Stegostoma tigrinum: one gene and its partners. The protein of the gene in region 1 purifies or fractionates together with the protein of each later gene. This does not show direct contact. Links are inferred from orthologs where the notes say so. Each region holds a gene or a part of one and is shown on either strand. Other genes may lie near its edges.

Region 1 (3,751 bases):
TGATGGTGATTTTCAGGGCTTTGCGCTTCTGCAAGCCGGTGGAACGGGACAGCCGGGAAATGATGATACAGTAGCAGATGAGGATGACCAGGGCGGGCAGAACGAAGCCCACCGCGATGCCTTGGATTCGGAAACTCATCATCCAGAACTGGTACGTGTCTGCGGGGTAAATGCGCTCACACACCACCCTGTCGTCGAGATTTCTCGTTTTAGCAAACACCATGTCGGGCACGGTGAGCAGAATGGCTGGTAACCAGACGCCCACATAGACTAACCGATCAGCCAGCAGCTTCCGCGGTCCCGTGCTGTTGGTCGCATGCACCACCGCATAGTAGCGGTCCAGGCTGATGAAGGCGAGAATTAACACGCTGCTGTACAAATTGACGGTGTAGATGATGTGCACGATCTTGCACATCGCGTCTCCGAAGTACCAATTCAGGCTCGCGTCGATAGACCAGAAGGGCAGGGTCAAGACAAACAGCAAATCCGCCACCGACAGGTGCAGCCTGTATTTGTCCGTCATGGTGCGCACTCTTCCATGGTAGCCCATGATGACCACCACCAGGCCATTGCCCACCACCCCCAGCACAAACACCAGCGAGTAGACACATGGTAAGAAAATGCTTTTAAAGTACGCGTTTTCTCCATCGCATAAGGCACCCTCTGGATATGTGTAATTGTACGCGTCAGTGTCATTGGGATAATTGGCATCATAAGCCAGGCGATAATACTGTAAAATAAACAACAAGCTTTATTAACCAACACCCAAACCGTCAGTTTAATCGATATTTTTTCAGCCTCGGCTTTTTATTACCATCAGAACCACGTGGTTACCACCCACCCCTGAAGTTTCCAATAGGAAACAGGCTTTTGGGTTGTTTGGGTTAGAATTTCTGACAGCCACAAGTTTTGAACTTGTTAACGGCTAAGGCCAGCCGTGTGGTTGTTGTTGCGGGATTGAGTTACAACTGTCAAAAGTAAACTCTAAATGGCTGGAAAAACGCAGCGTCTGTGGCGAGAGGGAGAGAGTCACTTAGCGTTTCCAGTCCCATTTTGCCAGGCCTGCTGAGTTTCTTCAGGAACGTCTGGTTTTGAGTCAGATTTCCAGCATCGGCATTGTTCAACTCTAGGCAGTCCACGTGTGAGGAGACACACCGGGTCTGGGACCCCGCTGCGTGCTGAAAACAAAATACGCTGAAAATTCACCGAGAGGCAGATTGGGTTTGGGAAGCGCAGCGCTGCCTTGAGTGCGTGTTTCACTTTTTAATGGAACAGCGGGGGATTTTTACAAAGGAAGTCACAGTGACGATTTCTCATCACAAAGCAGGACTGACTCCTAGTTGCTGGGGTGGGGAGCGGGGGAAGGGAGGTTGGGGTTCACTCACGTGGGACTCATGCTTGCAGTAATTGTGTTCAAACAGCGCTCAGTTCTATGCTATTCTGCTCCTTGCTACTTGGCACCGAAATTTTAACTGCCACTTGTTAACCACTTCAACGTTTTCTTTCTCAGGTATTTCACCCCACGCGCTGAAGTTTCCCTGAGTCGTTAGTAAAGTCCAGCAGAAGTCTGAGGAGATTTGTTTGTTATTACTGGGTTAGCTGTTCCCCATGCATGACAGTTGCAGCATGAGTGACCTCTTTCAACAATATCGGCATGTGCCAAATGTATATGCCCCGAGTTAAATATACCTGCGAGACCAGGTCACCTGGAGGTATAGGTGCTTCCTCTATGTGGAAGAGACGAATGCGAACGGATCTATTCATTGGCATCAATGAAGCATGCCTTTTAACTCGGAAAAACTGTGGTTGAACGCTGTTATTTTAAACTTTCTACCTCCTGTGATTTCTTAGTTCCAAAGCTCAAGAATCTAAACCGCGCTGGTTTCAAACAGCAAATCGGAATACCAGACGCGGTAACATGAAAACCCCTAACCAGATACTCGAGGCTAAATCAGATCAGCAATGTAAAATGCCTTTTCAACTTTCTTCCCCTGCAGCCGGTTTCACTAAATGATCACAATTTGGAGAGTTTAATTTCGAACTGGAAGCATTAAAAACAAAACCCATAAAACTCCAATTGGCTTTTCAGTGATATCTTCAATATCTAAAAGTGTTAAAATGATTGTGTTCATTCTTGCTTCGCACACAACTACCATAGGTAAACTGTAAGCTGCACACTTTACTCAGATAAATTCATCTACAAACTATACATAAGTGCATTTGCAACACTTAAAAGTATATTTTGTAAATAAAACATCATCTCTTTAAGTACAAATGATTTTTAATTTTGTTTCATAATGTACAAGTATTTACAAACATAAAAATACTTAAAGGAACATTTAGATATTGATTAAACCTTCTCTTACCATTTCATCGAACTCTGAATCTTCAGTCATTCTGCACGATTTCCAACAGCCCTGACCGTTATACTGGCGGAAGTTCACTTCTTGTAGCGTTCTCTAAGTATGAAGATATTGTATGAAGTTTCCAAACTTAAGTGCCACTTGGACCTGCGCATGCGCACAGCGAGAATCGTAATTTCTTAGCTCGACCAAAGGAAACTAGTTTGAATAATGAATTCAAAAACAAACCCAAAGAATAAGGGGCATTTACAACCACCGCTGCCTAACTGCTGCGGAAACGTTGGAAGCAACTGTTATTTTATAGCATCCGTTATACAGAATGCACACTAGGTGATAATATTCAATGACTTTAGTGAAAATTTGCTTTTGTGAAAGTATTGCTATTAGGCCATAAGACCACAAGAAATAGGAACAGGAGTAAGCTGTTCATCCCAAGTGCCTGTCCATCCCCATTCAATAGCATCATGGTTGATCATACATTTTTCAAGCCCTCCCCACCCCCAACCCGAATTCCCCATTGATCAAAAATCTATCTCAGCCTTAAACATACACAAGGATTAGATTAGATTACTTCTGTAATAAAAACCAAAAGAACTGCGGATGCTGTTAATCAGGAACAAAAACAAAGTTGCTGGAAAAGCTCTGCTGGTCTGGCAGCATCTGTTTTGGGTCCGATGACCCTTCCAGCAACTTTGTTTTTGTTGTTGACAAGGATTGTGTCCCACATCTGTCTGTGGCAGGGAGTTCCAAACACTCTCAACCCTCTGAGACAAGGAATTCCTCCTCATCTCGGTCTTAAATTGCACTCCCCCTTTATTCTGGGACCATTCCCTCTGGTGTAGGCTCTCCCATGAGGGGTATTATCCTCTCAGCATTTAACCCATCACACCCCTTAAGAATCCACATGTTTCAATGAGATCACCTCTCATTCTTCTAAACTCCAGCGAGTGGAGCCTGAATCTATTTGACCTTTGATCATTAGTCAATCCCTCCATACCATGGATCATTCTGGTGAACTTTCTGTGAACAATTGATTGTATAACTAGCCCAACTAATGTTCTTCATAGGGTAGCTGTCTGAGGCACTGAATGTTGTCTCTGGAAAGAGAAAATGGGAAATCTTGTCTGCACAACAATTTGTCCATCACTTATTCCTTCTTATACTTTGCTTTTGCATTTCTGTTTTGTAATGTTATCTTTCATTTTTCAATTGGCTAAATTTGTTTTCTTTTCCTTCCAGGTAAATCATTTCTTCATCATTTTTGGGTTGAAAATATTTGAAGCACATCAGTATCCTCAAGAAGGCCCCAACGAGTTCTCAAGATAATTAAGGATGGGCCATGAATATGGCCACACTAACAACAGTCATGTAGAACAGTACAGTGCAGG
Region 2 (3,751 bases), on another chromosome or scaffold:
GTGGTCCAACCCACTTGAAATGATGTTGAGAATTTTTCTATCCAGTCACAGAATAGAGGTGCTGTTGGCCAGGTCAGCATTTATAGCTCATCCCCTATTGCCTGGAGGACAGTTAAGTATCGACCACGTTGCTGTGGGTCTGAAATCATACGCAGTCCAGACCAGATGAAGATGGCAGCTTCCTTCTCTAAAGGACGTTAGTGAATTAGATTGGTTTTTCCTAAAAATTGGCCATGGTTTCACGGTCAGCATTCGACTCTAAAATCCAGACATTTTTTTGATTTCAAATTCCACCACCTGCCATGGCAGGATTCGCACCTGGGTTTGTATAAATTATCTTGGTTTCTGGGTGAATAGTCTAGCGATAATGCCGTTGCCTCCCTGGATTTGGAATTCGTACAGTTTTAAAAATAATTGGGAAGGTGCAGCAGTATGCTATGACAGTTTACTGAAAACAACAAGTGCTGGCGATCACAGCGGGTCAGATAGTAGCCACGAAGACAGGGCAAGTCTTCAGTTCTGATGAAGAGTCATCCAGACTTGTAACGTTAACTTGCTCTCTCTCCAAGGATATTGTGCTCATCCAGCTCCACACTCAGTTATACTATCTGACCCGCTGTCATTTCCAGTATGTGTTGTTTTCAGTACAGATTCCAGCATCTGCAGTAATTTGCTTCTGCTATGTTTGTACAGGCGCTCCCATCGAAGTAATGGAAGAACCTGCGGGTCTTCAGAACCATAACAGGGAACTGGTCCACGTGCGCCCTCTGCCCACCTTGGCAACATCGCCGGGGATGATTGACGTCCGCGCGGACCAATCGACGCGCACCGGCAAAGACAGGCGGTTTCCATGACGTCGGCGGCCAATGAGAGCGGGTCAAGAGGGCGGAGCCTGGATGACCCTGTGGGGGTGGAGGCAGAGTCCATCACGTGAGCAGGCGCTGCAAGATGGCGGCGGCGTTGGCGAAGGTGGGAGCGTTGAAGAAGAGCCCGCGGTTGTCTTTCTGAAGCGGGTCTGGCTGTTATCCGGGCCGGCTCCTCCAGTAAGAAAACTTTTTCGGTTTCCCGTTCTCGTTCGAACGTTTATGTGGCGGGGGTAAGGAAAGTGGCGGTTGGGAACTGCTCCCAGGCTGGGGTCTTTGGTTTTGGGGGGGGTTGCGGCGGATGGAGAGAGGGGGATGGGGTCGCCTAATGTCGTGGGAGAGCAGTCTGTCTCGCTCACTCGGCCTGCTCTGGTTTCACCCACTGGTTTCTCCCCGTCTGTCTGTTGAGGTAGGCCGCTTCACTGCCTATTTAAAAAGCTGGAGTGACCACGGACTTGCGTCGAGACGAGTCCTTGTTCTTTAATTTAAATTGCATTGTGGACACCCAAATGTGGGAAAGTTTCAGAGCGAGGAAACTTTAGGTCTCCCTTCTCTTGGAAGGACGGGCATTTCTAACACCCAGCCCCTGAACTAGTCTTCGTGCCAGGTTTAAAGGTCGGTTTGTAGTTCTACTCGGTCCACTTGCCCCTGCCCCCACCTCCCCAGATTCTAGGACACTATGATGATAGTTGTTTCAAGTCCTCCCTAGTTCCATTGGAGAGGTTAGTGTTCAAAGATCGGTGCTTTCTGCGCTTTGACTGCTCTGACGTACTGTTTATAAGTCTGTCTTGAGATTGGTGGAATGCTCTTAGGTGGTGGAGAATTTTTTTTGGTACTAATCCAACTGCTTTACTGTAACGTCATAAGACAAGGAGCAGGAGGTTGCCCGGCCAATTCGCCTATTGGCAAGATTGTGATTGATCTGATTATGGCCTTCACCCCCCCCCCCCTTTTCTGCCTGACACAGTAAATCCTAACTTCCTTATTGATCAGTGTAACTCAACCTTCAGAATATTCAATGATGATCAATTCTAGTCCCCCCCCGCCTCTGTGGGAAAGATGTTGTGAAATTTGAAAATGTTCAGAAAAGATTTAGATAATAGGTGCAGGAGTAGGCTATTCGGCCCTTTGAGCCAGTACCACCTTTGATTATGATCATGGCTGATCATCCACAATCAGTATCCTGTTCCTACCTTATCCCCAATTACAAGGATGTTGCCAGGATTAGAGGGTTTGAGCTATAGGCAAAGGCTGCAAAGACTGTGGCATTTTTCCTGGAATGTCGGAGGCTGAGGGGTGACCTTTATAGAGGTCTTTAAAATCATGAGAGGCGCGGATAAGGTGAATAGCCAAGATCTTTTCCCTGGGGTAGGAAAATCCAAAACTAGAGGGCAGAGTTGTAAAATGAGATGGGCAACACTTGAAGGGATTTAAGCAGCATCCTTTTCACACAGAAGGTGGTGTGTGTATGGAATGAGCTGCCAGAGGAAGCGATGGAGGCTGGTGCAATTACAACACTTAAAAGGCCAGGAGGGGTGCATGGATAAGAAAGGTTTAGCAGGATACAGGGCAAATAGGACTAGCTCAGTTTTGGATATCTGGTTGATTTAGACCAAATGGTCTGTTTCCATGTTGTGTAATGTTGGCTATATGATACAATCTCTGTGGAAGAGAATTCCAAAATCTGAACTCCCTCAGAGAAGAAATGCCTTTCCTTGTCTGAAATGGAAGATTGTTTGTTTATTTTTAAATGATGCTCCTAGTTCAGGATTTTATTGATGAGGGGAAACATCCTCTCAACATCAACCCTGTCAAATCCCTTCAGAATCTTGTAAATTCCAACAAGATTACTTCTCATTTTTCTAAATATCTATGAATATGTGCTCAACTGTTCCTCACAGGGCAAATTGTTTGATCCCCAAATCAGCCTAGTGTTTCTTCCCTGAACTACATCCGACACAAGTATGTCTCTTCTTAAGGTTGGAGTCCAAAGCTGTACACAGTAGTTGAAGTGTGGTCAAATCGATATTCTGTACAGCTCTAGCAAAATCTCCTGACTTTTACATTCCACTCCGGTTGCAATTAGTTAATATCAATTATTTATCTGATCATGAGGCACTGTATGATGTTTAACTATAAAAGAACTAAATAACTACACGTTGACACAGTAAACTGATGCTATCGTGCAGGTTTGGTTGACCTTTTAATGTATATCTTCACTTTACTGAAAGCAAAATTGAAGAAAATCTGACCTTTCACAAATGAACCAGCATTATGCAAGGTTACTGTTTCTGCTTTAGGCCAGTGTTTCGAGGTCAGCCTGCATTTGTGCGTTAGCTTTGCTTTTGTTATTTAGTTATGCTTTACAGTAGGAAAGCGAAACCCAGTACTTATATAGTATGTCTCATCCTCGCGTTGTTTCAAAATGCTTTATAGCCAATAAGTACCTTTTGCAACATAATTACTGGTTTGTAGACAGATGTGGCAGTCAATTTGAAAGGACCCAAATAACACACAAGATAAATAAAGTGTGGAGCTGGATGAACACAGCAGGCCAAGCAGTGTCTTAAGAGCACAAAAGCTGACATTTTGGGCCTAGACCTTTCATCAGAAAAGGGGGATGGAGAGAGGGGGAGGCAGATCGAACATGGAGAGGAGAGTAAAACTGCTTGATGTCCAAACATGAAGGTGGAGGCAGTGGCTTCAGGACATGGTCAAGCAGTTTCAAGGCCAAAGAGATTACAAGAGAGTTGTGGTGGAAAAGAGATCCCCTGAGGTTTGTCTGGAGGGAGGACGGTAACACCTTCATGTTTGGACAACAAGCAGTTTTACTCTCCTCTCCAACTATCTTCTCCTCTGTCCATCTTCAATCTGCCTCCCCCTGTCTC
Region 3 (3,751 bases), on another chromosome or scaffold:
TGTACTGTTCTATGTTCTATTAACCACTGCTGGAATAAGTCAATACCCGCCATCTTAACCAATGCTGGAAAAAGTCAATATCCCCAAGTTTAACCACTGCTAGAATAAGTCAATATACTCCCATTCGTGATTCACTGCTGGCACCACTCAATCCACCAGCTCCTCTCAGCCTAAACAGTTTGTGCTCCTAAGAAGCTGCTTGGCGTGCTGTGTTCATCCAGCTCCACACTTTGTCATCTTGCTGGCACCAATCAATCCTTTACCTCCATCCTAATCTACGGCTGGCCCCAGACAAGTCATCACCCCTATCCTAATCTACCGCGGGCACCAGTCATTCCTCCATCTCAGCTCGCAGCCAGAGGGAATCCACAGAATTAGAATGAGTAGGCCCCGGGCCAAAAAAGTACGACAGGACCGAGGCGCAATGAAGCTTTTCGCTGTGTGTGTGAGAAAGAGAAGGAGACACTCACTGTAGATTAATAACATTATTTAGTTATATTAGATTATATAACAACATTACCAAAGAGGCGACGAACGACACCAGCCGAATCGATGACCTTCCGCGGCCCCGACCGAGCTTTGGGGGGTGGGGGGCACGTGCGGGGACCGCGCGGCGGTTTTGTGTCTTGTTTTTCAGACTGTCCGTTAGCTTCTGCAGCAAATGACAGGGAGCTGATCGCCGGCCCTCTGTGTTCGCACGGGTTCCGAGATGGGGGAGTCGTGTGCGTAAAGCGAGGCGGGGGCGGGGGGAGTTAGCGGGGCGGAAAAAGGAGAACGTAGAAATAATATTTTCTTGGAGAGCGGCGACAAAAGCGGACTGGCAATGGGTGCGGCCTGTGGGTGACGTAAGAGATGGCGCTGTCGCCCCCTCCCCGCCGCGACGCAAATTGGGGCGTGGTCTAACCTGGGCTCAGGCGGGGCTTGGCGTCACCATGCGAGGTCTCCTCCCTTTAGCGGCCGTCAATGGCGAGGGTGATGCTAACGCGAGGTTTCCGCCTCGTGACCGTCATTCCCTCCTCCCCTCTGGTCGATGGTGTGGTGAGTCTGACGGTTTTCTTTCTCCTGACCGGCAGCGACGCTTGTTTACCAGCTGCTTCGGAATTGAAAACTGGCAGTGGGTTTTGTTTCTTGTTTTGCTGGGGTAAAGTATTTAAAAAGCAAGTTTAATTCTGGGTGACCCTTTACATGGATCTGGGGTTTTAGGAGCGAGCGAAGTGAGGGCGGAGGTTGGTCGGTTGCTAAGGCTCGAGCTGTGTGCAGGTAAGGATTGGGCCCACCCCCTCCCATTGCAGGTTATCCTGCATTGGGCTTGTGGGAAAAGCCCCGGGCTCTAATTGAATGCAATGTGAAGCGACTTAAGTGGCACGCAGGCTCTCTCTGCGGTAATAGATGTTTTATTTCCCTAATTTGTGGAGTGATATGGATAGGTGGAGGGCGGGTAGTCGCTTTATTCTGTAGGAGAAAAAAATAGGAGCAGCTACTGATCTGATATGGTTCCTATCACCACCACCCCCCCCCAACGTTTAAACAATGAAAACCCGTTTTAAAACTTACTGTTTGCAATTGCAATTAACGACGTTTCCATTTAAAGGAATCCAAAACGTTAGCCATTTACGTGGTTTTCTTTAGTATTTATTTAAACGCTATAATTGGCCTCAACACGTTGTCACATCAGATATCTTTCATGCAATGTAAACGAGAGTAAAAGGGTGCTATTAATCATTTCGCAGTAATTGTCGGTTTTTAAAATCTGAAGGTATTTTGAGGTCGAAAACATCCTGCCTGAATGCTGGGGAGGAGAGAATTGAGTGCTTATTTGTTCCGAGGGGGGGGTGTCTCTGCTCACCACTGGTACCGGCCTTTGCTTTCGAAGCGGTGCATTCAAATCTTCGCAAAATGTGGAGAGTGTCATTTCGATTGTTCGAGACGTGTGATACCGTAAAGGTAAATATTAATTTACACGCATCGTGTTTGGCATCTTGTTCGTTTAGCGATTTTTGTTTTTTGTCCATTATCTCTTTGAAAAAAGCCGAAACTGGAAAAGCGCGGCCCGAAACGTTGACTTTTCTGCCCCTCTGATGCTGTCTGACCTGAGCTTTTCCAGCCCCGCACCTCGCATCTGCAGTCCTTCATGTCTCTCTGTATTAGCCAAATGTTTGCGCGGACTCATCTTGCTCTAGGGTTGTACTTATCGCTGATCGTACAATGTGGACAGTGGACGAAAAACTCGAAATCCAAATTAAAAATGAATGTATACGAGGAGTCAATAACAACTCGATTATAATCTACAGGGAAGTGCCGGTAGTAGGAAAGGTTCTTTGAAGCAGCCCTATTAAGCTTTGGTTTTGAGCACTTTTAGTCTCTACCAAATTATTTCAGTTTTCTCCTGTTTCTTCTCTTTGCGTGGTGCCCTTTTTCAAGCAGTTGTCTCAGACTAATGTAACAGCTTTAAATCCAAAGTCCATATAAATGAACTTTAAATTTTCAAAGGTGCCTCAGATGCCTTTATCAAACTTTATCATAATAGGGGGAAGTGAGACCAAATGAATGGAATATGTAAATACATTCCTCTCTGTCAATGATGAGTAACCCCCCCCACCCCCTCTCTGTCATCAAACAAGCCTCATTAACATCCTCAGCAAATGGATTAACTGCTTTCACTAACTTTCCCCCTCCACAACCCCGACCCTTGTGATCTCCTCCCATAATCTTTAAACGTTGCTCCTCAGTCGTCCTCCTTTAGTTGCCTGGCCATTCAACAACTTTTCACTCCCTCATGATCCCTGATATCTCATTCCTGCCTCTAAACCTACCCCATCCAGGCCACCCACCCTTCAATTGGACAGGCTGTGGCTGGGAAACTGAGTCAAACTGTTGATGGCTCTTGAGGATTTCCACTGAAGCATACAAAAACTTTAGTGATGTGTGTAGAGGAAGGTAAAGTCATCAGTAAGTGGCCATTACGTTTTTAGAATTATAATGAAAGAGATTAGCTGAACTCTCTTTATTGAAGTATATTCGCATGGACTGATTGTTAAATGTAATGTAAGGCAGAAATCAGTATGAGAGAGAAGTGAGTAAATATTTGAACCAAAGGGAGATGCAAAATCTTTGCAACAGAATAGGATTGGTGTGGCAGAGACATGATGTAAACATGATAGGTTATATCACCTCTTTCTAATTTGTAAATCTTGATGGTTTATGGTCCAATCCCAAGGCTGCAATAATGAAAGCAGAAATCAAATTTGTTCTCATATGATCTTGTACAGGCCTGATTCTGAATGAGCAGAACAGTACCTTGAGTCATGTTTTCCCTTTGGATGTGGACTTTGTATAAAATGTACAAGAGCTTTGTTATACATGTTTAATTTATTTAAAGTAGTGGTATCCTATTTAACACTCTGTTTTCTAGAGTTTTGCTTGACATGTTGCTTAATGTTTAAGTACACCTGTTCAAATACACCTGTTCAAATATGCGTTTTCATATGAAAACTATTTTAACAATGATAATTTCAGTTTAAAACTTGAGTTTTTAAATGAATCCGTGCCACAGTATATTTGAATGCTAAAAGATGGAAAGGTATGAAAGGAAATTGAAAGACCATAGATGTTGGAAGCCAGGGCCCATAAGCACCCTAGAGAAAAGATCTTTGCTATTCACCTTATGCCCCTTATGATTTTATAAACCTCCATAAAAAGGTCACCCTTCAATTTGCAGTCAAGATCTATATCTTATGCCAATGACCCGCAA

What was found.
Region 2: the proteins of C-X-C chemokine receptor type 4-like (region 1) and E3 ubiquitin-protein ligase Itchy-like purify together in Homo sapiens (affinity purification with western blotting; 5 studies listed by BioGRID and IntAct, with this or other methods). This does not show direct contact. The link is inferred for Stegostoma tigrinum from reciprocal best matches to the Homo sapiens genes CXCR4 and ITCH.
Region 3: the proteins of C-X-C chemokine receptor type 4-like (region 1) and CSC1-like protein 2 purify together in Homo sapiens (co-immunoprecipitation; 3 studies listed by BioGRID and IntAct, with this or other methods). This does not show direct contact. The link is inferred for Stegostoma tigrinum from reciprocal best matches to the Homo sapiens genes CXCR4 and TMEM63B.

The regions. Positions count from the first base shown.
Region 1 is NC_081360.1:73,291,493-73,295,243, forward strand, and holds the start of C-X-C chemokine receptor type 4-like, read right to left. Parts: upstream 2,503-3,751; 5' UTR 2,397-2,502; coding exon 2,367-2,396; intron 731-2,366; coding exon 1-730.
Region 2 is NC_081372.1:11,190,681-11,194,431, forward strand, and holds the start of E3 ubiquitin-protein ligase Itchy-like, read left to right. Parts: upstream 1-929; 5' UTR 930-1,043; intron 1,044-3,751. UniProt on the Homo sapiens protein: Acts as an Acts as an E3 ubiquitin-protein ligase which accepts ubiquitin from an E2 ubiquitin-conjugating enzyme in the form of a thioester and then directly transfers the ubiquitin to targeted substrates.
Region 3 is NC_081357.1:11,099,138-11,102,888, reverse strand, and holds the start of CSC1-like protein 2, read left to right. Parts: upstream 1-961; 5' UTR 962-1,038; exon of another isoform or gene 1,039-1,260; intron 1,261-3,751. UniProt on the Homo sapiens protein: Mechanosensitive cation channel with low conductance and high activation threshold. Osmosensitive cation channel preferentially activated by hypotonic stress.